Linked DNA regions of Cricetulus griseus. The protein of the gene in region 1 interacts with the protein of each later gene in a pairwise test. Links are inferred from orthologs where the notes say so. Each region holds a gene or a part of one and is shown on either strand. Other genes may lie near its edges. The genes, in order: Ushbp1, Prc1, Fbf1, Dtnb, Fam110a, Synj2bp and Necab2.

Region 1 (3,500 bases):
AGTCTGATCCCCCATCACCTGCAGGTGCTGGAGCTAGAGGATTCCCTGAGGCAGCTGGAGGCCTCCCCGGCTGTCCTCCTCCTCAGAGCGGGGCATACCAACAGCAACTCCAGCAGTTCTGGGGCAGAAGGGGAGCCCTGGGTGCCTCAGGTAAGCCAGAAGTCTTTAGAGCATGTCGTGGTGATGTCCTCTGCTTTTCCAGTGTGAGAGGATGGGGGTAAGCTTCAATTTGTGCTTGATGGGATCCCATAGTGTTGTGTGACAAAACTTTTCCTGGGGAGACACTATACACGTCAACTCATCCCATATAGGGAGCCCATGTTACACAAAAGCACAGACACAGCCAAAGTCCAACTTGGTGGTTACATACAGGATTACGGGTGAAGGGTCACCTACAGGAGCTGAAATGACTCAGAGAGCTGCATCACCAAAGCCCACCCCAGCATGGGTGACAGCTCACAAAGCTGGAAGCCTGGAGCACACTGCACAGCCTGCAAATTGGAGTATGCCATTCCAGTGACTGGTCTAAATCTCTTCAGCACAGCTGGTCTGGTCTCTAGTCTTCTTTGCAGCCAATCAGCTGGTCTCTTAAGAACTTTCCTTACTCTGGCAGGGAGGGACCTAGTGAATCTGCTCAGTTTCAGGGACTTCCTGAAACTGTTTGGAGTTGTTTATCATCCTGCCTAAGGAGCAGGTGGAATGTTTCTATCTCAGAGGAAACTGTTAATACAACACATAGTGTGAAAAAAAACCTAAGCAGAGCCTGGAGAGATGGCTCGTTGGTTAGGTGTGCTAGCTGCTCTCACAGAGGACCAGATCTAATGCCCAGAACCCAAATGGCAGCTCACAATCATTAGTAATTCTAGTTTCAGGGGATCTGACGCCCTCTTCAGGGCTCCACAGCCACCAGGCATGCACATGGTGTACACAGAAACTTGCAGGCAAAACACTCACACACATGAAATAAAAATAAAAGAGAAAAAGCATAAAACACCAGATTGGTTGTCACCCCACAGTCACCAGCTGCTTAGGGGCCTGAGACAGAAGGATCGTGACCAATAAATTTATCAAGACCCTGTCTCCAGATTAAAAAATAATAATAAGCATTGGTGAGATAACACAGCTGGAAAGGGCACCTGCTGCCAAGCCTGGTGATCTGTGCTCAATCCCTGGAATTCCCAGAGTGGAACCAGAGAACTGAGTCCCATAAGTTGTCCTTTGACATCCATTCATGTGTCATAGGCATACATCCCACACACGTGTGCATGCACACACACCAAAAACACAAACCAAAGCTGCAGTGGTGCCCCAGATATATAATATGTTCCAGGGCCCTGCAAAAAGGAAGAATGATGGGTAGTAAATCAAGTCATGTACTCCTGGCAGGACTCCCCCTTGGCTCATCCTCTTCTCCAACCCCTCCAGAGTGACTCTAGCACCCAGATCTTTGGGTGCCATTCCAAACATCGTTCAGCCCCCGAGATGCACCTTATAGAAGATCAGATGGAGCAGCTCCAGGGGTGAGTGGCTGAGTCACAGCTGCTGAGCTTTTAAGGGCATCATGCTTCCCGCTACTGGGTTGTGAGGGGGTGGGGAAGAAACTGGGATCTAGCTGATTGGACCCTCACTCATCTTCCCTCTTGCCTGCCTTTGGAGATAGGAGCATTGAGAAGTTGAAGTGCTTCAATCGCCTCCTGCTGGCTGTGCTCCAGGGCTACAAGGGCCGCTGTGAGAGCCTCAGCATGCAGCTGGGCCAGAGGGAGGCTGAGGCCACAGCCCTGCGCCTGGCCCTGCAATATAGGTCTGTGTCTGCTACCAATGATGGTGGTGGCTGGGGACGAAATGGGGCTGCATCCCAGGATGGCCCTATGCAGAGGGACATGGGGACTTCAGAAAGCACACTGCCTCACCATGAGATCTTGTTCTAACCCATAAACTATGGAGGGTGGGAGCTGTCTTTTTGTGGTTTGTTGCTATATATTTATTTGAGACAAGGTCTCACTGTGTAGCGCCAGCTGGCCTGGAACTTGCTATGTAGCCCAGGCTGGCTTTGAACTCACAGAAATCTGCCTGACTTACTGGGTTGGGGCTGAATGTTGAAACACTCAAATGCCATCCACAGTGAGGATTGTGAGGAGGTATATGGGGTGCTGCTTGCTCTGAGGATGGCTGACTCAGGAGCTGGAGATGAAGCCCCCAAGAGTGACCTGCAGGCTGCTGAGAAGGAGGCAGCTAGGCTGCTGGTGGAGAAGGAGGCAGCTATGGATGGAAAGACACCCCAGCCCAGGTACTTACAGGAAGCATAAGAGCTATGGTGGTCCACGGGGTGGGGTGGGGCATGTCCCAGAGCCTGCTACATATAGGATTTTGATGTCATTGTCACTGTCACTGCCCAGGGAGGTGCTGAGTTCATCATGGCTGGCACCAGGCCTGACTGGAGTGTGTTAGTTACTCAGTGGTGCTTAGTTTGCCTGACACCAGGTGTGGTGACAACATGCCTTTGATCCCAGCACTCAGGAGGCAGAGTTTGAGGAGTTCAAGTCCAGCCTGGTCTACATAGCAAGTTCTAGGCCAGCCTAGACCTTGCCTCATATGTGTGTGTGTGTGTGTGTGTGTGTGTATACATATATATGTGTGTATACACACATATATATATACATATATACATACATACATACATATCTTATACAAAGTACCAATTGCCTTGCATAGATGCACAGACCCTGGTTTCAACCTCTAAAGCAGGGGGGGAAATCAGTGAAGAGAAAAATTATTAATTTTGGTCAATCCATCATGGCAACAGGAAGTGGGAAGCAGAGCTACAGGAAGTGTCCGGGGCATTGGTGAAGCCCTGTGTGGACTTGACAGGGTTAGCAATACAGCTCTAGGTACTGTCCATCACAGTGCTGGTGAGCTTCTGGTTTTGTCTCTGCACTGCCAGTGCAGCCTCAGTGTGCACGGAATTAAGTTCAAAGTCCCCTGGTGGCCTGATTAGCATGTAGGCTCCACCACCTGGCTATGTAACTGAGGGTGATGCTCCTGCCTCCATCTCCTGAGGCTGGGTTGTATATATGGTACCTCACGAATGCAAGCTCTCTATGGACTGAGCAACAAGCACTCTACTGACTGAGCCCCAGCACCTGCCATATTATCTTGCTGGAAGATTGCCCAGCTGGCACAGGACTGTGGTGGCTCCTCGGGCCGTGTCTTGGGAACAGCTGTATAACACCTGTCTCCACCTGTCTCCTATAGCCCAGGGGGCAGCAGTGTTGACAAGCCTACGCCACAGGAACTAGCTGCTCAGCTCCATGGCTATGTCCAGCGTCTCCGGGAACGCTGGGCTCTGGTGAAGATCCCTCCACCTCTTGGCCCTGCCACGGCACCCAGGCCCACTATGCCCCACACAGAAGCAACAGTTCAGGCCATTCTGGAGATACAGCCTGGCCCAGCCCTGCCCCGGCTAGAGAAGTCTGAGATCCAGCAGAAGCTGGTGGCTATTC
Region 2 (3,500 bases), on another chromosome or scaffold:
CCCAGAACCCACATGGTAGAAGAATAAAACCAACTCAAGGAAGTTGTCCCCTGACCTCTACATGCCAATGGCATGTGCACAACCACACACCCACAATAAATTAAAAAAAAAAAAAAATCATACCACTAACAATAAAGATCTCATGTTTTAAGAACTTTATAACTTTTTTTAAATCTACTTTTATAAATTTAACTTTATTACTGTTGTTTGTGTATAGTAGGGGAACATGCACTTTGCCATGACATGAATATGACAGTCACAAGACAGCTTTATGAAGTTGATTCTTTCCACTCATTCTTAGGTGGGTTCTGGAGATTGAACTCAGGTCAGCAGGCTTTTACATGATAAATGCTTTATCCACTGATATCATCTTATTGGCCTGATCTCTTCTTACTCACCAATATCAGAGGTTAAAACTAGGACATTGCTGGGCGTTGGTGGCGCACGCCTTTAATCCCAGCACTTAGGAGGCAGAGGCAGGAGGATCTCTGTGAATTCAAGGCCAGCCTGGTCTACACAACGAGTGCCAGGATAGGCTCCAAAACTACAGAGAAACCCTGTCTCGAAAAACAAAACAAAACAAAAAGCCAAAACAAACTAGGACATCATGTTAGTCAAACTTCTACCACTGAACTGCATCCACAGTGGTTAGATTAGTTTTATATCAATTTACAGGTTGGACATTTGTGTATGATGGTGCCCAACTCTAGGCAGTGTTTTGTGTGTATGTATAATAACCAAGTGTAAGCTACAATTTCCAGTAACTGAATTGGATCAATTGTACAATTTTCTAAAATTTATGATGGCTTTATTAGGATGTAAGTCTAAGTTAAGAAGCAATTGTAAAAATAGCTGTGTAATCATCATGTCACCTAGCTAACTCCAGAACTCATCTCATCTTGCAAAACTGAAATCATTTTTGGCAAAAGGTCCTCATTTTATGCTCCCACCAATCCAATCTATTTTGTTGAGTCTGACTGTTTTAAACACCAGAATACTTTTGCAATACGTGGATCAGAAAGCTTACTTTGGTTAGCTAGAAGATGATATATCTAGTTCTTATTAATAGAATACTTACACTAAAAGTCCTATGAACATCTCTTTACCAATAACAATCAATTTAGGCCGGGCGTTGGTGGCACACGCCTTTAATCCCAACACTTGGGAGGCAGAGGCAGGCGGATCTCTGTGAGTTCGAGGCCAGCCAGGTCTATAAGAGCTAGTTCCAGAACAGCCTCCAAAACAATACAGAGAAACCCTGTCTCAAAAAACAAACAAACAAAAAAACCAATCAATTTAGTAGATCCTGCTCTATTCCTAGTAGATTAAGAAGGGAATAGAGTGGTTGGTAATTATATGTTCTACAAATAATATAGTTTCATTTAGCATTGTTAAAAACTTGCCATATATTCAAGGAAGACAGATGTACCAGTGTAGTCCCAACTTCTCATATACCTAATTTCACATTGAGAGTTTAAGAAAAAAAGAGAAATTTTATGTAGCAAATCCACGTCATTTATGTTAATCTCCGGAAACTGCTCTAACGTCATGGTCTGCTTGAATGCTCTTGACTGCCAGGGATCAATTTTCCTTACCCTTCAAAGGTGGTAAGTTTTTCCTTTAACAGTAAATGGAACATGAGAACCGTCATCATTCCTTTTCAAAGCTTCCTATGTGTCCCAACTTTTCAGAACCATTCTGGATGGTTCAGTGGTATGCAGTTTTTGATTATTAAAAGAACCACAAAGGTTGAATTTTGTTTGGTACTCCTCCTTTGTATCACTAGGTATCCTTGCCTCCTATGTACCCACTTTATTCTGTGGGGTGGATAGCAGCACATACATATATGTGAACAAATGGATGGAAGACGGAGATCAACTTTTGGGTAATACTGTACAGCTTGTTTTTTGTTCTAAAGAATTACTAATAAGGGTATAAGCTTCTCTCCTGCATGTATTTAAGTGTACTGCATGTGAACCTGGTACTCTAGACTGAAGTCACTAGAGGGTGCTGGACCCCCTGGAGTTGGAGTTCAGGACAGTTGTAAGCCACCACATGTGCTGGGAACTGAAACCAGCTCCTATGCAAGAGCACCACATGTTCTCAACTGCTGAGTCTTTGTCCAGCTGCTATCTTGTTTTAAGTTTGTGTTTTTGAGACAAGGTCTCTCATTGGTTTGAAGCTTAAGCCTCAGAGATCCACCTATCTCTGCCCCTGCCCCCCAGTGCTGAAGTTACAAGCATATGCCACCATTATTTTTTTCCCCTTGAGACAAAGTTTCTCTGTGATGCCCTGGCTGTCCTGGAACTCACTCTGTAGGCCAGGCTGACCTTGAATTTTCAGAGATCCGCTTGCCTCTGCCTCCCAAGAGCTGGGATTAAAGGCGTGAGCCATTATGGCCTGGCAATCTGGCTTTTTTGCAAGGTTTATGAGGCTTGAATTCAGGTTCTCATGCCTATGAGGGAAGGACTTTACCAATTAACCCATTTCTTCAATGTCCCCCTACCCGCCTCTTTCAAACAAAGATTCATGCCACTTTTCCCCTCAAAATTAAAACATTATTATGCTCTATAAAACTGAAATACAGCAAGAAGTGTTTGATAACCTATTAGCTATTTCATGTCAATAGGGTAACTATCTTTCACATTTCTCGAGTCTATCTCCCCTCCAAGAACGCTTTCCATTTACATTGCTAAGTTAAAACATAGTCATCTGTCTCAGACCCCAACCCACCCCCCAAACACTCTGTATTGCCACACCTGAAATGGCTTCACTTGTAACTCATTGCACAGGGTACTCAGCTCCTTCTGACAGAAGGATATGCTTTTGAGAAGCCGTTCCCTCAGGCTCTCCTCTTCAGCAATCATCCTATCCAGAAGATCCTGTGTGAGAGAAAACAGTTGGTAAAGGTTTGGCGCCACTGAGAATAAAACAAAACACAACAAAACCAATTAGCATCTCAAAACTCACATAATTTCAAATTTTGCAGAAGAAGCTTTAAATAAAACCAGGAAGAGTCTGTGATATCCTTGTCTGAACGACCAAATGTTATTATTTTTATTATCTATTATTATGTGTGAGGAATGCAAATGCCATAGAGTAAGTGTAAGGAGAGAAGACAACTTTATGGACTCAATTCTCCCTGTATACCTTATATGGATGGAGCTCAGGTCTTAGGCTTATATCATGGAGTTGCAGATGTCTTTACCTACTAAGTCACCTATCCAAGTCCCCAAATATCACTCTGTCTGATGTCTCAACAAGGCAGCAACATCCCTACCTCCTGGTCTCACTGCAGAAAGACCAGTACCACTCAACTCACCTTGATATGCTTCTTCACAACCTCGGTTCTTTGTAATCTCTGTTCCTCTGGAATCCCAATTAATTCCCATATTTCCCGAAGGTGAATCAGAGCTTTCTGGAGGCATACGATGGACTCCTCTGCTAGCACTTCACTGAAAATCAATATAAAACCATTTTACTTATAATAGCTAGCATCA
Region 3 (3,500 bases), on another chromosome or scaffold:
TCCTTGAGTTGCCTCTGAGCAGGGGAGAATTGTTCACTGGGCCCAAGACCTAACCCTGTTTGTCCACCTTCCCTACCTGGATTGGCACAGAGAGCCCCGTGGGTTCTTGGGAGCGTGGAACATAAAGTGCAGGCTCTGGAAACGTGACGGCAGAGAAAGAGGAGGAGGTTCAGAGGACTGCATAGCGAGGATCTTCCAGAGTTCCCAAAGGAGCTCAAGGTACCTCTTCCTCACCCAGGGCTAAACTCCAAGCAGAGACGGAAACAAACCTCTGCTAGAAAAGTCCCCAGAGGCAGAGACCATTCCTGTCTTGGGGTCACCTACAGGGAGGACAGTAGTGGCTTGGCTCCAACGCATGGAGGACCTGGGGACATAAAGATGAGGGCACATTGAACAGCTTCTGTGTGAGACAGAGGCAGAGAAGGGGAAGCAAAGAAAAGCACTGGATTCAAACAGCTGGATGCAGAGGTCTAGGGGCTGGTGCTCTGCTGGGGTGAAGGACCTGGCTGCACTGGCGGCTTGGTAAAGGGGCAACAGATATGTGTCTCAGACATCTGTCAGCTAGGCATAGATGCTGAATACAACAGTCAGTGAGCCAGGGAAGGAAGCAGAGGGTGGCCCTCCCAGCCCTGTCTTTGGACATACCCTGTGATACCAGGCCTGCCAGCTGCGATCCCTTGTGGAATTGTTCTTGAGGCTTCTTCAGCAATGGCCTGCTCAAGGGCCTGAGTGCCAGCAACAGATTGGCTGAGGAAAGTCCATGTTAAAGGTGAAGACTGGTAGTGAGCTACATGAAGATAACCCCAGACAAGCTCCTAGCATGAAGCTCTGGCAGCCTTCTCCCCCTGCCTGTTCCCACCACTTCTCCCCTGCCTGTTCCCACCACTTCTCCCCTGCTTATTCCGACCACTCCATTCTCTGCCTCTGTTCCCACCACTCCTTCCCCTTTCTGCCTCTGTTCCCACCACTTTTCTGGAATTTTTTCCAGGCTGGAGGACTCCTGCAGTTTGTGGGCTGCCTTTCCCTTCTAGGACCTGCTGTCCAACTCAGCATCCATCATGGTTCAGTAACACAGCAACCATGGGCATGCCACACACACTGGAGTTAAGTCCAAGCCCAAGCCTTGTCATGCTTTGTGTAGTCTTAGATTCTGGTGCTGCTGGGTCACCCCGTCTCCATAGCTACCCTTGATTGCTCTCTTGTATTCTTTTCCCTCCTTTCTTGGTTCTCAGGTCATCAGCTTTCCCTCTCATCTCAGGTCAACATCAAAACTGCTCTCCCCCAACACACCAGTTCTAGGACATCTAGGACACAGTGGTGGTGTCCCTGGGCTCACACAACCTCTTCCTGTTGGTTCTGCTTGCAAGGCTTGTTATTGCTTCCTAGGACCTGGCCTGTCAGCCCCTTTCCCTTCCTGCCTACAGGGGTCACTCACCCCCAGCCTCACTGGATGGCCATTCTGTGGTGCTCAGGGGCTGTCTCCCAGTTTCCACATTTACTCAAACACTTCCAAGAGGCCATGGGAAGCTCACTCACACATGCACTAGCTACCTTTAACACAAGCTGACCGAAACCTACACTCGGCACAGTGGGTCTGACTGGTGTTGCAGACAGCGCTTGTGCTCAGAGAAGAGGGACAGGGACACTGCTACCACAAACACCCTTTGTTTTCCCTTGCCCAGTCCAGTCAGCACCTGTCCCCACGGCAGCCAGGGCATGAGTGTTAGCAGCCCCCGGCCTGTCTGTCTGCATCTGGGCAGCTCTCTACTGTGCCCGGAAGGAAGAGAAGCAAAGCTGGGGCGGCATCAGTGGCCACACTAGTATCTCTAACAAAGGATGCAACAGGTGAGGTGAGCAAGGCTAGACCCCCAGACCTTGCCAGATCCTTCCCGCCAACCGTAGAAGCCCACGCTCATACCTGCTAGAAGGGGTCTGACCCAATGATCCCCGTGAGTTCAGACCCTTAGAGGGCTCAGCACGATCCTCTCTGGCTAGACCCTGGGATTTTTTCTGAGATATGACATGGCTCAGCCAGTCATCCTCTTTCTCCTCAGAGGCTTTCAGTGAGGCTTGGCTGGCTTTGGTAGAGGGCCTCACACCCTTAGCTGCTGGCTTGGCTGCTGAGGGCAATCCAACTGGGGCAGGGTGTGGCTCTGGGGCTGAGTGCTGGTTTATAGGAGGGGGTAGAGAGGGTGTGGAGATGGCTGAGTCTTCTTGTTGAACCTTTTGAACAGGAGAGGAAGACAGCAGGTCCAGGTCATCGTCCTTAAGGCCTAGCCAGTCAGCTCCTCCTCTTCTGGGGTGGGCAGGGCTGGAAGCTGGTGGAGGGCTGTGTCTGAAGCCGGCTTCCCCCTTAAGGTCCCCCTTAAGGTCTGAGCCACCTTCTCCCAAGAACCTGCTTCAAGACAGAGAGGCGGGTGTTGGGCAGGGGAGGAAGCACACCCTGTTAGCCCCCATCAGTCCTACTCTCTGCTGTTGAGGGGGGTGCACGTCTGGCCCACAGCAAACTGGGCACAGTAGCTCACACCTGTAATCCCAGCACTCGGGAGGCTGACCCAGGACTGCTATAAGTGCAAAGCTGGCCTGTAGTACAAAACTAGCCTGTGCTACAAAGACCCTATGTCAAAATAGTGTTAACAATAGTGACCATCTCACAGCAGCTAGAGACATGGCTCAGCTGGTAGACTACATGTCTAGCATATACTAAGCTCATCCCTAGTGCCACAACCAACCAGGATGGTGGTCCATCCACACCTGCTGACCCAGCATTCCAGAATGAAGGCAGGAGGATAAAGTCAATGTCCATCCTTGACTACACAGTGAGTTAGAGGCCAGCCAGTCTCAACAACAAAAAGGGCAGGAAAAGACAGGTCCGATTTCACATAAGCCCGGGAACCCGAGCTCTAGGGGATCTGACATCCTCTTCTGACCTCCTCAGGCACCAGGTTTGTGTACAGTGCACAGATATACATGCAGGTAAAACACTCATATGCACAAAATAAACAAATAAATCCTTTTACAACAAAAAACATATACATGGAGAAAAATTACACATTCCGGAAAGTTCACTGCTGGTCTGTTTCTGTGGCAAATGTGCCGTGTGTCATGAGGATATGGCCAATGGCAGGGTCTGGGAAGCTATTAGAGGGATCCCCACTACGGCTTCAGGATGGTGGCTGTGCTAACTCCTTGGGCTGTGGTTTCTCTGGGAGACCAAGTGACATACCAGCCTTTCATGGCATTCAGAGCTTCAAGCAAAAGCAGGCCCACCTCTTCCTTTTCCTTCTGAGGAGTTTAGGGGTCTGGAGACTGCAAGTCTACCCAGCTCTGCCTGGACTGTTAGGAGCTCCTAGCTTCCCTCTCACTTTAGCACTGTAGACTCATGGCTGTAGGGTGAGGTTGGGAAGGCCGCAGGGACAGGCCTGTCCCCAAGGCTGACCTCCCTGAAGCCCCACTTACTTGACCGACTGCCGGCGGGACTGTCTGCCCTCAGAGGAGGC
Region 4 (3,946 bases), on another chromosome or scaffold:
CCAAGTGGGTTTTTTTTTTTTATCTGAGTATCTTATAACCAAGTATGCATTATGAGCTACTTGAACTACTGAAGTCCAAGAGCTGCCAGGCACAGAGACTCCAACGCAAATGATACCCCTAAAACTGGACAGCATACAACCAGAAACCACAGCTCTAATGTATATGTAATTTGAAATAAGTAAAATGGGGTGGGCTGTCCTCAAAGATAGCATGAGTTAATCTTCTGGTGATACAAATGTATATATTTTGATTGGGATAGTTTACACAGTTATATATGGTTTTCCTTTGTTTTTGTTTTCTTTGCAGAGGGCTTTTGTTACTGTTTCCCTTTTGATTTTACTTTCTGTTGAAACAGTCTCCCCATGTAACCCTGGCTAGCCTTAAACTCACAGTGATCAGCTTGCCTCTGCCTCCAGAGACCGGGATTTAGACATGTGCCACCACACCCAACAATATGTATGGTTTTTTAAAACATCCAATTCAACATGTAAAATCTGCCCCTTTTATCATATGCTAACTATGTATCAAGAAGGAACAGTAGCGCACACCTGTAATCCCAGCACACATGGGCAGGAGGATAACTACAAGCTCAAAGTCAGTCAGGGCAACATAGAGAAGACCTCTATCTTAAAAACAAAATCACAAAAAAAGTTTGTTTTAACCATGCAGGGTGGTTCACTCAGGAGACTGAGGAGATGGCCACAAATTCAAGGTCAGCCTATATCCTTGGCTACAGTATATTGAGTACCAGGCCAGCTGGGTTCAGCAAGACACTGTTTCAAAAGGGAGGGGGCACTGATTTTGAAATAAGTGTAAATTAAGCATCTAGAAAATATTAGGAAAGCCTGAAACCAAGGTACCAAAAATTACAGAGCCACGTAGACACCCCAAAACAAAACTTACTATAAACTTAAAGGTTGCATGCTCACTAACATGAAATAAAAGTGTTGCTTCAAGGCTCACTATATATTCAACGCCAAATTTGTACTGATATTACTTTCATTAGATGAGGAACTAAGGCTCAGATATGTTAACACTGAAGACATGAAATAAATGGTAACTGGAAATCTCATGAACTCTAGTATTTTAACTCCAAGTAGAAATTCTGTCTTCCGGGAAAAATTATTGAACATCATGACACCGCCAGCACCACCTTGACTTCACAACCTCCTTCAGAGGCAGTTCCACTTATGTCTGATAAAAATCCTCAGAGAACTCATAAAAGGTCAAGTTTTAATTTGGCAAGCAAAGTAACCCAACAAGCACTGCAAGCCAGAGGAAGGGAACAGCAGCCTGGGGCTGGAGAGTCCAACACCCTGGAAGGTGGAGGACGGAACTCCTGCCCTTACAGGACTGACCAGACATTCTCTCACCTCAGCATTCTGTCACCTCAGAGCCCAGACCCAAGAGGCAGAATAGAAACTACAAGTGTTCGTAGCAAAAGCATACTCCATCCTCAAAAAAGCATAACAAAAACAAACAAAAAGCCAATGAGAGAAGGACCAGAACCGGATCTCAAGAGACCACCCAAAGAGCAAGCGCCTGGTACCCAACATGCAAGAACCACGTGGATGTAAAAGACTGGCCACAAGCCACCGGAGTCTGCCACCCAGGCCACTGTTTTAACCTACCCAGTGCCTAAAACCCTGGCTACCCGAGGCAAAAAGACGATCTGAGGCCCAAAGAAGTCCACCAACCACCCCTAACTCTAGAGAGGCAGACACTACTCCATATAAAATGTATCAAACCCCTGCTTCCTCCAACACTCATTCAGTGGACATCAATTCTAAGACTACTGGGATCCAGGCCACATCCTGAGGACTAAGCTTAACTCTAGTTGAGAAGGCAAGGTTCTCTTTAAATTTTCCTTTCCCTCTCTTTTAAATGTCACTAAGACCCTTCCAATCTCTTCTCAATAACTCCCACCAGCTTCCCTTGAGTAGCCTACTTTCTCCACAAACCAAGCAACTTAGGGATCTTTTTTCCCATGGTTTCCCATGGAAAAAAGACTAAAGAGGCTGAAATGACCAGGACAAGAGACGAGAAATTGAGCGCTTTACATTTTATATGCATACTTTCACGGCCCAACTGTCAGCACTTGAGCAGCAAATGATGGCTGGGAGTGACTGAGTCGTGACCCCGGGGCTGACCGCGCTTGTCTCCTGCTCCGTAGCTAATCAATAAACGCTTTGCAGAGAATGCTGGAAGGTCTCCCTGATTCCCCAAGGCCTGGCACGGGGAATGTAACCGTAAGCATTCGGCAGCCGCATCCTCCCGTCTCTTCTCGGGACACTATACCCATCAAGGGTGACCTGGGTGGACAGGTTCGTCTACCGGGAGACACCGAGGGGGCGATCTGGAATGAATTCCCTTCCCTCTGCCAGGGCCTGCCTGCCTCACCTGCCCTCTGCCAGGACCTGCCGCCTTCGCCCCCTTCAGCACCTAACCCGGAGCCTCCTCCCCGCAAGCCGGGCTCCCGCTGCATCAGCAGGCGCGCGCAGCCCGGCTCTGCGCCCCGCCGCCACCGTGCGCGCGGGTGGCCGGAGGACCCCCCCTTCCTCTCTCCCTCCCCGGCCCGGCGTGCCGTCTCCCAAGGGTCGCAGCTCCACGGCCGCGCGCTCCGCCACCCCGCAGGCTCCCTCCTCGCTCCTCCAGCCCGGGCGGAGGACTCCCCACCTGGCTCACTTCCCGGCCGGAGCTGAGGGGGCGTCGCGTGGCTCTCCGGCGGCCGCAGCCTCCTCCGGCCCGGCCCCCTCGACTTGAGGCGGCTGAAGCAGCTGCAGCGGCTGAGGCGACGGCGCCCACTCAGGCCCCGGAGCCGCCCCCACGGCGAACGTTCCCGGCGCCGGCTCGCGCCGCTTCCCCCGCCCGGCACGCGCAGCGAGCCCGCCCCCGGCGCGAGGGCGCGAGGCGCGAGGGCGAGGGCGGGTGCGCGCGGAGGGCCGGCGGGCGGGCGCGCGAGGGGCGGGGCTTCCGCCACGAGAGGGGGCGGGGAGGCGGCCGCGTGCCCTCCCGCGGGTTCGCGCGCCCCCTCCGGGCCTCTGCGGTGCGCGGGCGGCGGAGGCGGAGGCGCGCTTCCACTCCACAGGTAGCTGCCCGGCGGCTGGATGCTGCGCCGACGTGACTGCACCGTAAGGAATGCCAAGAAACACCCGGTGAATGATTCACCCGCGCCTCGAGCGCGGGCTCCTGCCCCGGGTGACTTTCCACATTGACTCAGCAGGCTCACTGAGCACTGACTCCGCGTCTGGTGCGCCGTGGACATGCTCTGGGTCACAGGCCCCTAGGCCCCAGGAGCGCGTAACTCAGGGGGAAGAGCAGCCTTGCGAGGACCGAGTCCGGTCACCTGCGAATAGCCAAGCCACAGCCGGATGCTGTGAGAGGATAAGGGGGAACAGATTACTTCCGCTTAGCTGCGCGGTAGTTCCTGAAAGTGGGAACGTTTCGACTTGCTAAAAACAGCTTGGGCAAAGGAGCAGGGGCCGGTCAGTTCATAGTACCATTTTTAAAAAGGATTGATGTTTTTATGTTATGTGTATAAGTGTTTGGCCTACAAGTATGTGTGTTCATCACACACGTGCGCCCCCCCCCCCCGGGAGACCAGCAGAGTGAATTGGATCCCCTGGAACTGTGAGCTGCCCTGTGGGTGCTGGAAAATCGAACCCAGGTCCTCTAATAACATCAAAGTGCTCTTTAACTGCTGAGCTATCTCTCCAGCCCCTTATATGTTTCTTGGTTGGTATTTTTTCCAAGATAAGGTTTTAGTGTAACAGCCCAATCAGTCCTGGAACTCTCTTTGGAGACCAGGCTGGCCTTGAACTTCGAGAGATCCACCTTCTGTCTCCTGGGCACTGGGATTAAAGGCATGCTCCAACATGCCTGACCTCATGGTCCCATTTTTTTTTAATAGAATCCTTTCCAAACTCTTTAGGAACAGCTAAGTCT
Region 5 (3,500 bases), on another chromosome or scaffold:
CTGTACTAGGCGGTGGACGAGGAGGGGTGGCTGGTGGGACCTTGTGGGCAGATCCTTCTGCCCGTCCAGGCGTTCGGCTGGCCTCAGCTGGGGACACGGGACTATCACACAGGTTGATGAGACTGGTAAGGATGTCAACGTCCAGCTGGGGCCTGCGTCCAGGACAGGGCAGGGCTCGGCGGCTGGGTGTGAGCACTGGCCCACGAGCAGCGCTGAAGAAGGGCTGTCGGGCTAGCGGGGGCTGCACAGGCTCCTGGCGGGTGTTGGCCACATGAAGGCTTTTGACGTACTTGGCCTTGTCAGCCTCCAGGCGTTCCACAGCACTCGGCTTCCGGGCTCCCGCAACTGCTGGCCTTGGTAGCAGGTAGCTTGGGACCTTGGTTCGCAGGCGAAAAGGTAGGGTGGGAGCTGCAGGGGCTGCAGGGCTCAGCGTGTCCACGGGCATGGCAGTTACATGCCCCGAGGGCCGAGGCGAGGAGACAGATACAGGCACAAAGTTGGCAGCTGGATGCCGGGCTCCGCTGCAAGCAAGGAAAGAAGACAGGCTGAGCACGTTCAGACAAAGGCTCGCCTGACTGCGAAGCCTGAGCTATTATAAGGTAGAGGGCACGCCTCTGCCTCGCGAAGAGCCAATCATCAGGCAGAATGTACTACTGGAAGTCCTGTGGCCCCACCTACACCCTTTCCCTCCAATAGTGGGCGGGGACCCGCACAGCTGAGGGAGGGAGGAAAGAGGTTGAGAAGGCAGGTCCGTTTTAAAAAGAGCAAAGGAGGCTCAAGGCTCCAGGCTCAGCTCCAGGGTCCTCTCAACAGCCCCATTTACGGATAGGGAAACTGAAGCTCGGGGAGGCAATGAACTTGCTTAAGCCTTCCCTTGCTCCCCAGATAGGAGGTACTAGTGACCAGGCAGTTGGGGTTGAATGACCGCCATCCACATCCCACCTGAATTGCCCAGAGGAGCCAGATACCACCAACATCCCACAACCAGCCCAGGCAGGAAGCCTCGCAGTGCCAGACTCCTGCCTGGACATGCCAGGCCCACAAAGGGCACAAAAGCAGAGGCTGCAGGGGAGGAGCAGAAAGATAGTCCACACCCCCACCCTAGTGGAGCCCAAGTAGCTTCCAGGATATGGCTCCAAGGCCAAGCCCACAGAGATCAAGGCACGCAGAGAGGAGTAAGCATCAGCCCCAAGCTATGCTGTGCAAAGAACTGTCCAGGTCACAGCACCACCCAGAGCTATGCTGCTGACCAACTACCATGAAGGTGAGCATGGGCTGTAAGGCTCATGCCTGGGTGCTCATGTAGTCCCATACTTGTCCAACAGAAGATCATCCCAGGCATCGAGAAAACATGGTTAGAAAGTGCCACAGTTCTCCCCCACCACCCAAGCCCCTCAGAAACGTAGCAATGTAAAACCCAAGTTAAACTTTCTCATCTGTAAAGAGGGGGGAGGGGCTTAGCCTGGGGGCTACAGACACTTGGCAGTTCAGGTCACCCAGCACCACTAGCTCCTGAATCATACCAACCATGCTTCAAGTTCTCCATGGGTGCATGGAGGCTACTATGCTAGACAGCACTGAAACCGAGAGCATGCCTAAACACAGTAAAAGCATCACCGAGACATACAGACATCCCATAACAGGGATCCCCATTGTGTGCCAGACACTCAAAGCCGCACTCTCTCGTATCATCTCCAACAGCCTGGAAGCCACTGTCACCATTTTGTAGCAGGGAAAACTGAGACTCTGAGAAGTGACTTCCCTAGATCCCAGAGGAGATTAAAATGGTAGTCCCATCATACAGCTTTTCCACACACTATGGGCACACGCGCGCGCACACACCACACACACACACACACACACACACACACACACACACCTGCTTCTTCTCTCACTATAGCCATGGGTCCCATAGAACTTACTGTGGATATGGTTCTCTCTTTGTTGTCCCCCACTCCCTAAAGTATCAGCTCCATGAGGGCAGAAGTTTCGGCTGCTTTGTTCACTGGGTCTCAGCTTCATGGTGTGGCTCTCAATACATGCTAAATAGTCCACAAGTGTGTCCTGAACTGAAAGGCCTGGGTGGGGGGGATCAGCTGAGAACCAGCACCACAGTGGGCTAGAGAAGCCTCACCCACTACAGACAGGTGGGTCCAAGGTAAGGGGTGTAATGTTCCCAGGGCTGGCGATCCAGAGGGGCAGGGGCTCTCTAGGTCTGTAACTGTGAGCAAATTCCATCCCCATTTTTAAAAGACTACCTGTACCAGGCAAGCATAGCATATCTGCAGACATACCTGCTTTCCCCAGCACCCATGGAAACCTCAGTACAGTAGTGGTGTGGGGGCTGGGGATAGGGCTGCTCTCAAGTCTCAAGGGGCTAGTAGGAAGGAAAGGAAGGCTGGCTCCACTCAAGTAGACCCCCCAGGTAACCTTGGGCAGGAAAGGTCTGGCCAGCAGAGCTGCTCCGGAGCCCTGCCAGACTCTGCCCCACCTCCCTAACCCCCCACGTCTGCTCTGCCACCCAAACCAGTCCAACCCGTTGGTAGTGGTTGAGGCAGTCCCTCCCAAACATCACCTGGGAAAAAGGAAGGAGGTCAGAGGGGCAGGGCCAGGGCAGAAGCTCCCCGCCACCACCACCTTGCTTCTATACCCACCACCTAACTCTAGGTAAAGATGGGGGCGGGGACAGGTGCCTGTTGCCAAACTTGGCCTGGTAACCACCTGGGTGCCCACTTTCCCACCAGCCCCTGCCTTGCACCTTGCACAAGAGGCAGCTCTTAACAGACTGTTGTTCCCTTATCTGTTCACCGGAGTTAAAAATAGACTTCCCTGTGCCTTCGGGTCACCGCTGGAAAGATCAAACGGGTTCGTAGCACCTGGAAATGGCCAGCGCTCCATAAATAAACCAGGTTGGCTGACATATACTGAGGCTCTGACTGTGGAGTGTGCAGACCCGCCCCCTCCGAGAGTCTTCTAAGCACGATCCAGAAGGGCGGATCTAGGCCCCAGCAGACACAAAGGAGACATCTGGCAGGGGCTGATCACAATGAGCCAGCAGACCCGCACCAACTCACGTCACAGGGGCCTCTCAGAGAGGCAGCCTGGGTCCGGGTCGCCAAGTGAGATTTAACGTCTCCTCTGGGGACTCTTCTCACCATGGGTTTTCAAATGCTGCCGCAAACGGCCCTAAATGCATAAACCTTGAGCCTTTCTGGTCACAGTTCCAGAACCCGACTTTGTCCCTCCCTTCAGGTTCCCAAAGAACGGATCAGGCCACCAGGAAGGCCCCAGTTTGGTTTCGGTTCTTCCTCACTTGGAAGAAATCCTAGAGACTCTAGGGGCAAGCCTTGAGGTGAGCAAAGGCTGTGTGACCCCCATGATCTGCTGTCCCTCTCTGAGCAGAAGTTGGCCCACGTCTGTTTCGAATACGGGGACTGAATCCACAGTCCCTGCTGCGCTCCCCCCTCCCCAGCACCGCAACATACCTGGCTACCCAAGCC
Region 6 (4,143 bases), on another chromosome or scaffold:
GGGCACTTTCCCTAGCTCTAATGCTTGATGGAAATACTAAGAGTAGAAACTTTAGATCTGTAAGAAAATTGCTTAGAAATTAGACAATGCCCATTAAAATGCCCAGAGGTTCAAACAGTGATATTATGTTGAATTTAGTGCTTAAACAAGAATAATAATATCAGGAATCTGCTCTCATCGGAAGACCCTGGAAATACTGTAATACCACTGCAAAGAGACTATATCATTAGGTCCTTACCATTAGGCAAAAAACAACCTCAAACATCATAAAAAGTAGTATCATGCAAGTATATTTAAAGAACTAGATGTCATTATGTACTTGCAAAGCAATCAGAAAGGTGTATCTCAACTGATCCTAAGAAGAGAAGATGAAAAGTACACACAAAAAAATGGACTTTTATTTAAAGATCTGAGGCTGCTGAGTGAGATGGCTCAGTGGGCACAAGCACTTGCCACCAACTCTGACAACCTGAGTTCAATCCCTGGGACCCACATGATAGAAGGAAAAAACTGACTCCTGAAAGTTGTCCTCTGAGTTCTACAGGCCTCCTTGCCCCTCACACAAATAACTAAATAAATGCAATAAAAATTCAATTTCTACCATGCTAGCCTAAAAAGTAAATAAATATTGAGAGAATAGTTTTCTAAAATAGGACAAATTCAAACACTTGAGCATATTGAAAAGTCTTTGAGCAAAAGTTTTTGAGTTTATCTTAGGTTTTCTATTGCTATGACAAAACACTGTAACACAAGCAACTAAGGGATGAAGTGATTTATTTAATCTTACACTTTCAGGTAACATTCCATCATAAAGAGAACTCCATCAGGAGCCTGGACGTAGCAACTACAGTAGCGCTACTTACTGGCTTGCTCATCCTGCTTCCTTACAATCTAGGACCACGTGCCCAGGGTGGCACTGCCCACCGTGAGCTGATCATCAAACATCAATATCAATCAAGAAAATGCTCCACAGGCCTGCCTACGGGCAATCTGATAGAGGTATTTTCTCAATTGAGGTTCCTTTTCCCAGATAACTCTATCTTCTGCCAAGTTGACAAATGAAATAAAAAATAAAATCAACCAGCACTGAGCTTCTGTATAAACCACAAAGATTAGCAGTGTGTTACTCCCATAAATAAGACCAACTTCCAATTTTCTCCCAACAGGAAGACAAAAAGTATGACTAATTCTGAAAGTTGTGTTTTATACAGAACACTCTATCAGTAGTGATTAAGTTATTGCAAACTTCCAGATGAGAAAAGTTGACAGAATATTCTAAGTAGAATAAAAATCCACAGTAACCAATGATTTATTCAACTCTTGGAATACTGTATTTAGCAGAACTTACTGGGGTCAGTCTAACCATTCATTCACTAATGATAACAATAATAGCAAATACACATTGCTTACCATATGTCAAGACAATGTTCTAAATATTTCTCAGGGCGTAACTGGCTTCATCCTAACACTATATGTCAAACACAATGCACTTCATAACCATCTCCACTCTACAGACAAGAACCTATAGCATACATCAGTTAAATTACTCTGCCAATGAATTAAAACCAACCAGACAGACTGACAGACAAACTGGTAAGTTGTTAGATAAAAACTTGGCCATAAGTAGTTAACCCTAAACCTAAAAATAGTCCAAGGGAGACAACAGCACTATGTAGTCATGTTTAAAGGCCAGTCTGGCGCCGGGCGGTGGTGGCGCATGCCTTTAATCCCAGCACTCGGGAGGCAGAGGCAGGCGGATCTCTGTGAGTTCAAGGCCAGCCTGGTCTCCAGAGCGAGTGCTAGGATAGGTTCCAAAGCTACACAGAGAAACCCTGTCTCGAAAAACCAAAACAATAATAATAATAATAATAATAATAATAATAATAATAATAATAATAATAATGCCAGTCTGGCCATGAGCAGCGGTGAGGAAGACACAGCAGGGCTGAGTGGGAATTTTCCTGTCAGAATCACATTTAGTATTTAAAGAATTGTTTAATCCATACTGAATCCATATCCCTAAAAATGAAACTAGAAAATAGCCTTTTCGTTTTAATTCATTATAAAAAAAAATGTAAAAACAAAACAAGCCCAAGTAATTCTGGGGTGGCGCTAGGTCTGGAAACTTCTGTAGTGGGTATCCTCCTGCTTTAGCATTCCAGTTGACACTGTAAACTAATTTCCCAGAAATGCAGACAGGGACCCTAGCACCAGGGAAATTGCTATGCATTCAGAAAACCACGCCGTTTACCGCTCTCGTTTTTACCTGAACGGGCCCTCATATAAACAAGGATGATCCAGGCAACTGAATAACGGATGTGGCGTCCACTACAGGCTGTCTAAGCAGCGGCCGTTCGTCTAGACTTTTCTATTACTACCAGCAAACAGAAACCCTTCCTGGCCCTAAATGCCTGCGGCACTTTCCCTGGGTTGTGAGGCCGAGTCCCAGGGTCCGTTATCTAGCTAACAAAGGATGCCAATGGGCTCTTTCGTCGTGCCCGACGGCGTTCTTGGAAGCAACTTGGTCGGGCCGGCCTGCTCTCCAGCCAGTAAACCTGGCTCCGCAAAACCAACGAGCTCAGCAATGACTCCCTCCACGTCCCGCGCCTACCCGAGGGTCCTCTCGTCAGGTTGATCTCTTCCTCCGTAACTATATAATCCACCCGTCCGTTCATGTCTGACGGCTCACCGGGCGGAAGCCCGGGGTCAGCTGGAGCTCCGCGCAGGTGAAGGTGAATCAAGCTCCGCGCCGCGTCCCCAGCATAGCTTTTACAGTTTCCTAAGCCGCCGGACCGGAAGAGGAAACCGCGGGCACTGGGAGCGCCAAGGATGCTGGGAGTGGTGGTTCTCCGCGCCCACCAGCGTTTTCCGTTACCTCGCCCCATTCCCAAGGCAGATCCTGGGGTGCCATGAGTAAGGCACAATGCTCACCTACCTTGGGAAAGCATGTGGGAAGGAGGGCACGGAAAGAGGGTAATAAAGTTATGGTTCGTAATTAGATTGATACTGTTGATATTTTAAATAAAATCTCAAAATATCCACAAATGTAAAAAAAAAAAAAAAAAAAACAGGAGGATTTTATCTTATGAGCTTCAAACCATACTGGGAAAGGCATCACGGGCAAACTACTGGTGAGATTGCATATTTGGGCAGAAAGTTGTACCTTTTCCTTTTGTGTGACGTGGGTACAGCCCAATACATCCATGCCCCGTGTAAAAGAACTTGATAACACTGTGTCATGTTCATTCGCTGGCAGTTCACTCTGTGTTAATATAATTTATCTACAGGGGGAAAAAATACAACCTATCTCCCTCCCTCCCCCACCTCGTGTGTGTGTGTGTGTGTGTGTGTGTGTGTGTGTGTGTGTGTGTGTGTGTGTGTAGTGTTCACTGCTTAAAGCAAGGCACCTACACTGACACACATGACAGGAAACTGGAGCACCATACGACTGACAAGACACTTTGTTTAAAGTATTTGCTGCAATATATTCCTGGTTTGTGTCTTTAGCAGGCTTATCTAACTTAAGAAATGTGTATACATACAAAGATACAGAGAAGGGATTAATTAAATTATAGGCTTACTCAAGAAAAATACTCCAAAGCAGGGGTGGAGGGTGTGGAGGTGGGGGTGGAAATGTCATTTTTTTGACAAGATGATTGCAGGACTTAAGATGTGACATTCCTAGCCCTCTTGACTTTTGAAATAGGACATTCCAAACAGGTTGAAGGAATTTTCAAACATCAAAAGATAAAAAAAAAGCCTTAGGAACCAGGAAGGTGACCATAAATGTATATAGGGTGAAAAAAGGGATTGGTTACTGGAGATGTTAGAGAATTGAAGAGTGAATATCACCATAAAGGTATTCTACCTTACAGTTAAAAATCGAGCCAGCAACCACTGTTAATTAATCAAAACAAGTCAGAAGTGGATTCTATATGAATGAGACAGGATGGGAAGACAGGGAACCTATGAGACATGGGAGGGGCATCATCTCAGAGTCTGAGTAAAACCTCTTGCCAGATGAGCAAGGACTCTATCATAATTAACATTTGCTGCAAAGGCTACTGACATGTAATTAACATTTATTTTCTGCATAGATATTGTATGAAAAATTGGCAATGGCCTAAGCTTCAGATCTCAGTT
Region 7 (3,500 bases), on another chromosome or scaffold:
TGCTTTGGTATAAGGAGTGAAACCCAGGGCTAGAGTGGAGGCTGACCCAGGGCCCCAAGAGTCCCAGGAGAGGCCGGGGTATTATTTTTGACAACCTGTGATAATCGGCAGCCCTTTCCCCACCCTGCTCCCTGGATCAGCTTTCTCATTGGTCCCATCTACTCATGATATGGCCCATAGGCTTTGAGAGGAATATTGAGCAGCCTGGTTTGGTGGCATAGGTCTGTAACCACAACACTCAGGAAGATGAAGCAGAAAGATCATGAGAGTTCAAGGCCAGCCTGGGTTACATAGTGCAACCTTGTCTCAAAATAAGGAAAGGAAACAGCATGGTGGGCAGGCAGGTGGCTCCTGCTCCAGCCTCTTTGAGGTGGAGTTCACCATACCAGTGCTGAGCATGCAGAGGGGGCCACAGCAAGTGTTTTGGGGACTGCTGGGAGGGTCAGAAACTGGCCTGCTGACTCTGTCTCCCTCTCTCTCTCTCCATTTCCTCCCTCCCCCCCTCCCTCCACAGCCATGTGGACACCAAGGAACTGTGTGGTAAGTTCCGGGATCTACAGCCACCATGGTGTGGACAGGAATACCCAGAGGAGGGCAAATCAATATGGACCTAGGTGGGGCTGGTGGGAGGGCCCCAGGGAGAGGGTGGAATCCTCTGTGACCCCTGACCTTTGCAACCTCCTTCCCCAGATTACTTTGTGGACCACATGGGAGACTATGAAGATGTCCTGGCCTCCCTGGAGACCTTGAACCACTCGGTCCTGAAAGCCATGGGCTACACCAAGAAGGTCAGTGGGTATGGGGAGTGCACTCAAGAAGCTAGGGCCTGAACGCCAGTCTAGGTGTTTCTGAACATTGTTGCTCAAGGGTGTCTAGCTTTGTGGTGACAAGTGTTGGCAGGGCTCCTTGCAGAGCCAAGACAAACCACATAGTGAGAGGATGACCTTGGTGGATAGCCCTGTCCCCTAGAGTGTGTGCCAGAGTGTGAGGGTCTTTCCCAGGGTCAGGCTGGGTCCTGGTGTGGATAACTGGTGAGGGCAGGAATCCTGAACGATGGGCTCCTTCAAGAGCAGTGCAGACCCAGGGATCTGGAAATGGGAATTTAGGTTTTGTCTGTCTGAACTTGACCCAGGAGTGAACTGGTGTCCCCTAGTGGCTGGCACATGTGCAGTAGAGGAAGGCCGAGTTGATCTGGTCAGTGACCAGGTTAAAGGACTGGAGTCTCACTTTTTGTTGTCTGTGAAGTGGAAGTGCCCATCTTGCAGACCTTGACTGAACTAAACACCAAACTGTTGAACACAGAGCTACGTAGGTAACACCAGCTCCCTCATTTCCTCACACGAAGCCTGTGCCCTGCCTGCAGCAGACTGAAGACCCCTTCTTGCCATGCACCCTAACATTGCTGAATCTGCCCCACCCCCTGCACACTGCCATTCTGGCATTGCACTGTCAGGAGTCTTGCTGTTTGCGAATATTTTAAGACCTTGTGAGAGCCACTCTCAGGGGATGAGGGTATGTTCATCGTTGCAGTTTTGCGGCAGCCCCCAGTGTCCCCTGGTGGCTGGAGCATTAGCAGGGTGTGCTAGGCAAGTGTGTCAGCCTGGCTGTAAGAAGAGGGGAAGATGGATTGTGCAGCAACACAGTCCTTGACCCTTCCCCTCCTATCCAGGAGCAGAGCCCTGTCCCAGTAAAACCGTAGAGCATGGAACCTCACCATCCATGAGGGAAAGGAGCCTCCCAGGAGGCTCAGGCCAGCCTTAGTCATGCTGCCACAAGGATTGTACATGTAGCCTCAGGTGATCATGGTGATTTCAGGTGATTCCGGAGCATCCTTGCTGGGCCTGGAAATGGTAGCTGACTTTTTTTTTTTTTTTTTTTTTTTTTTTTTTTTTTTTTTGCCTTCTTTGGTATCTCCTAGCTGGCCTGTTTGAAGAAAGGCAGCTTGCTGATGATCTTGAATGCTTTCCTTGTATGCTGGTAGCTTTTATGTCAGTTTGACATAAGTTAGCGTCGACTTGATTAAGAAAATCCCCCCAGAAGATTGGCCTGTTGAACAAGCCTGCGGTGTATGTTTCTGGATTGATGATTGATGTCAGAAAGCTCAGCTCACTTTGGGTGGTGCCACCTATGGACTGGTGGTCGTGGGTGCTATAAGAAAGCAAGCTGAACAAACCATGGGGAGCAAGCCAGTAAGCACCACCCCTCCATAACCTCTGCATCAGTTTTTGCCTGGGTTTCTGCCCTGACCTCTCTCAGTGGACTGTGATGTGGACATGTAAACTGAAATAAACCCTTTGCTCCCCAGTTTGCTTTTGGTTATGGTGTTTCATCACAGCAAAAGAGACTCAAAGACCCCCTGTGATCCCTGATTGAGGCTGACTGCTTTGATTTTGTGACGTAATAGTCTCTGTCATGGTTAGCTGGGTTAGTCTCCTGCATGGTGACGAATATGGGCTCCTCTGGTAACTCTGTTGCATGTGACATATTCTCCAGATCCTAACACATCACAATGATGCAAGGCCCCAGCTTTTCAAGTACATCTAGAGCATCTCTCCACTAATTGCAATATTAATGCCAACTCTTATTTTAGAAACCTCTTCAGTTCAGCCTGTGCAAAAATATGTTTCGCCTTCCCCTTTGTTCAGTCTTGTCTTGGGTGATAGCAAGGAATTTGCTCAAATGCCTGTGGGTTTTTTTTTTTTTTTTTTAATGATCTGATGATTTTGCTTCAGCTATCGATGGGTGGATTCTATTTTTAGATTCTCTCAAATTGAATAGTCAGTGCTCTATGATAAACTTCCATCAGAGCATCATTCTTTCATCATCTCTCACTCAGTTCTGTCACCTACTGAGTGTCTTCTCTCTGCATTGGGAGTTGAAGTGGGAAGATGGCCTGGGGAGCAAACCATGTGACTAGGGCATCTCCTGTATGATGCGCCATCCCTAAAATGTATGGATGTTTTTTTTTTTTCTATTTAAAATCAAAATGTATCCAGAACTCTTGGGTCAAGGGTCTAAAAGGGTAGTGACTATTGTCATAGGTCTTACTGTTTTATGTGTGAAGTGTTTTACCTGCATGTACATCTGTGCACCATGCGTGTGCCTAAAGCCCACAGTAGCCAGAAGATGGCATTGGGTCCCCTGAAACAGGAGTCTCAGATGTGAGCCACCATGTAGGGCTGGGAATCAAACCCCAGGGTCCTTTTCCAGAACTCTTAACCACTGAGCCATTTCTCCAGACCCTGTAATAGGTGGTTTATAGCAAACCCTAATTTTTAAAAAATATTTATTTATTTATTTATTATGTATACACTGTTCTGTCTGCATGTTTGCCTGCACACTAGAAGAGGGCACCAGATCTCATTATGGATGGTTGTGAGCCATCATATGGTTGCTGGGAATTGAACTCAGGACCTCTGGAAGAGCAGTCAGTGCTCTTAACCTCTGAGCCATCTCTCCAGACTTGGAAAACCCTAATTTTATTCGTTTCCTTTTTGGTG

The links.
Region 2: the proteins of Ushbp1 (region 1) and Prc1 interact in a two-hybrid assay, tested with the Homo sapiens proteins (2 studies listed by BioGRID and IntAct). The link is inferred for Cricetulus griseus from reciprocal best matches to the Homo sapiens genes USHBP1 and PRC1.
Region 3: the proteins of Ushbp1 (region 1) and Fbf1 interact in binary tests that used the Homo sapiens proteins (3 or more experiments, as listed by UniProt). The two-hybrid records come from large-scale screens. The link is inferred for Cricetulus griseus from reciprocal best matches to the Homo sapiens genes USHBP1 and FBF1.
Region 4: the proteins of Ushbp1 (region 1) and Dtnb interact in binary tests that used the Homo sapiens proteins (3 or more experiments, as listed by UniProt). The two-hybrid records come from large-scale screens. The link is inferred for Cricetulus griseus from reciprocal best matches to the Homo sapiens genes USHBP1 and DTNB.
Region 5: the proteins of Ushbp1 (region 1) and Fam110a interact in binary tests that used the Homo sapiens proteins (3 or more experiments, as listed by UniProt). The two-hybrid records come from large-scale screens. The link is inferred for Cricetulus griseus from reciprocal best matches to the Homo sapiens genes USHBP1 and FAM110A.
Region 6: the proteins of Ushbp1 (region 1) and Synj2bp interact in binary tests that used the Homo sapiens proteins (3 or more experiments, as listed by UniProt). The two-hybrid records come from large-scale screens. The link is inferred for Cricetulus griseus from reciprocal best matches to the Homo sapiens genes USHBP1 and SYNJ2BP.
Region 7: the proteins of Ushbp1 (region 1) and Necab2 interact in binary tests that used the Homo sapiens proteins (3 or more experiments, as listed by UniProt). The two-hybrid records come from large-scale screens. The link is inferred for Cricetulus griseus from reciprocal best matches to the Homo sapiens genes USHBP1 and NECAB2.

The regions. Positions count from the first base shown.
Region 1 is NW_023276806.1:247,616,872-247,620,371, reverse strand, and holds part of Ushbp1 (Usher syndrome type-1C protein-binding protein 1), read left to right. Parts: intron 1-24; coding exon 25-150; intron 151-1,386; coding exon 1,387-1,520; intron 1,521-1,660; coding exon 1,661-1,801; intron 1,802-2,122; coding exon 2,123-2,287; intron 2,288-3,252; coding exon 3,253-3,500.
Region 2 is NC_048596.1:117,306,059-117,309,558, forward strand, and holds part of Prc1 (protein regulator of cytokinesis 1), read right to left. Parts: intron 3,456-3,500; coding exon 3,323-3,455; intron 2,883-3,322; coding exon 2,760-2,882; intron 1-2,759. UniProt on the Homo sapiens protein: Key regulator of cytokinesis that cross-links antiparrallel microtubules at an average distance of 35 nM. Essential for controlling the spatiotemporal formation of the midzone and successful cytokinesis.
Region 3 is NC_048600.1:128,734,343-128,737,842, forward strand, and holds part of Fbf1 (fas-binding factor 1), read right to left. Parts: coding exon 3,460-3,500; intron 2,399-3,459; coding exon 1,919-2,398; intron 748-1,918; coding exon 646-747; intron 365-645; coding exon 270-364; intron 136-269; coding exon 77-135; intron 1-76. UniProt on the Homo sapiens protein: Keratin-binding protein required for epithelial cell polarization. Involved in apical junction complex (AJC) assembly via its interaction with PARD3. Required for ciliogenesis.
Region 4 is NC_048600.1:14,466,751-14,470,696, reverse strand, and holds the start of Dtnb (dystrobrevin beta), read right to left. Parts: upstream 2,801-3,946; 5' UTR 2,678-2,800; intron 1-2,677.
Region 5 is NC_048599.1:28,044,669-28,048,168, reverse strand, and holds part of Fam110a (protein FAM110A), read right to left. Parts: intron 522-3,500; 5' UTR 446-521; coding exon 1-445.
Region 6 is NC_048598.1:122,173,588-122,177,730, reverse strand, and holds the start of Synj2bp (synaptojanin-2-binding protein), read right to left. Parts: upstream 2,801-4,143; 5' UTR 2,676-2,800; coding exon 2,612-2,675; intron 1-2,611. UniProt on the Homo sapiens protein: Regulates endocytosis of activin type 2 receptor kinases through the Ral/RALBP1-dependent pathway and may be involved in suppression of activin-induced signal transduction.
Region 7 is NC_048596.1:196,088,030-196,091,529, forward strand, and holds part of Necab2 (N-terminal EF-hand calcium-binding protein 2), read left to right. Parts: intron 1-514; coding exon 515-540; intron 541-690; coding exon 691-788; intron 789-3,500. UniProt on the Homo sapiens protein: May act as a signaling scaffold protein that senses intracellular calcium.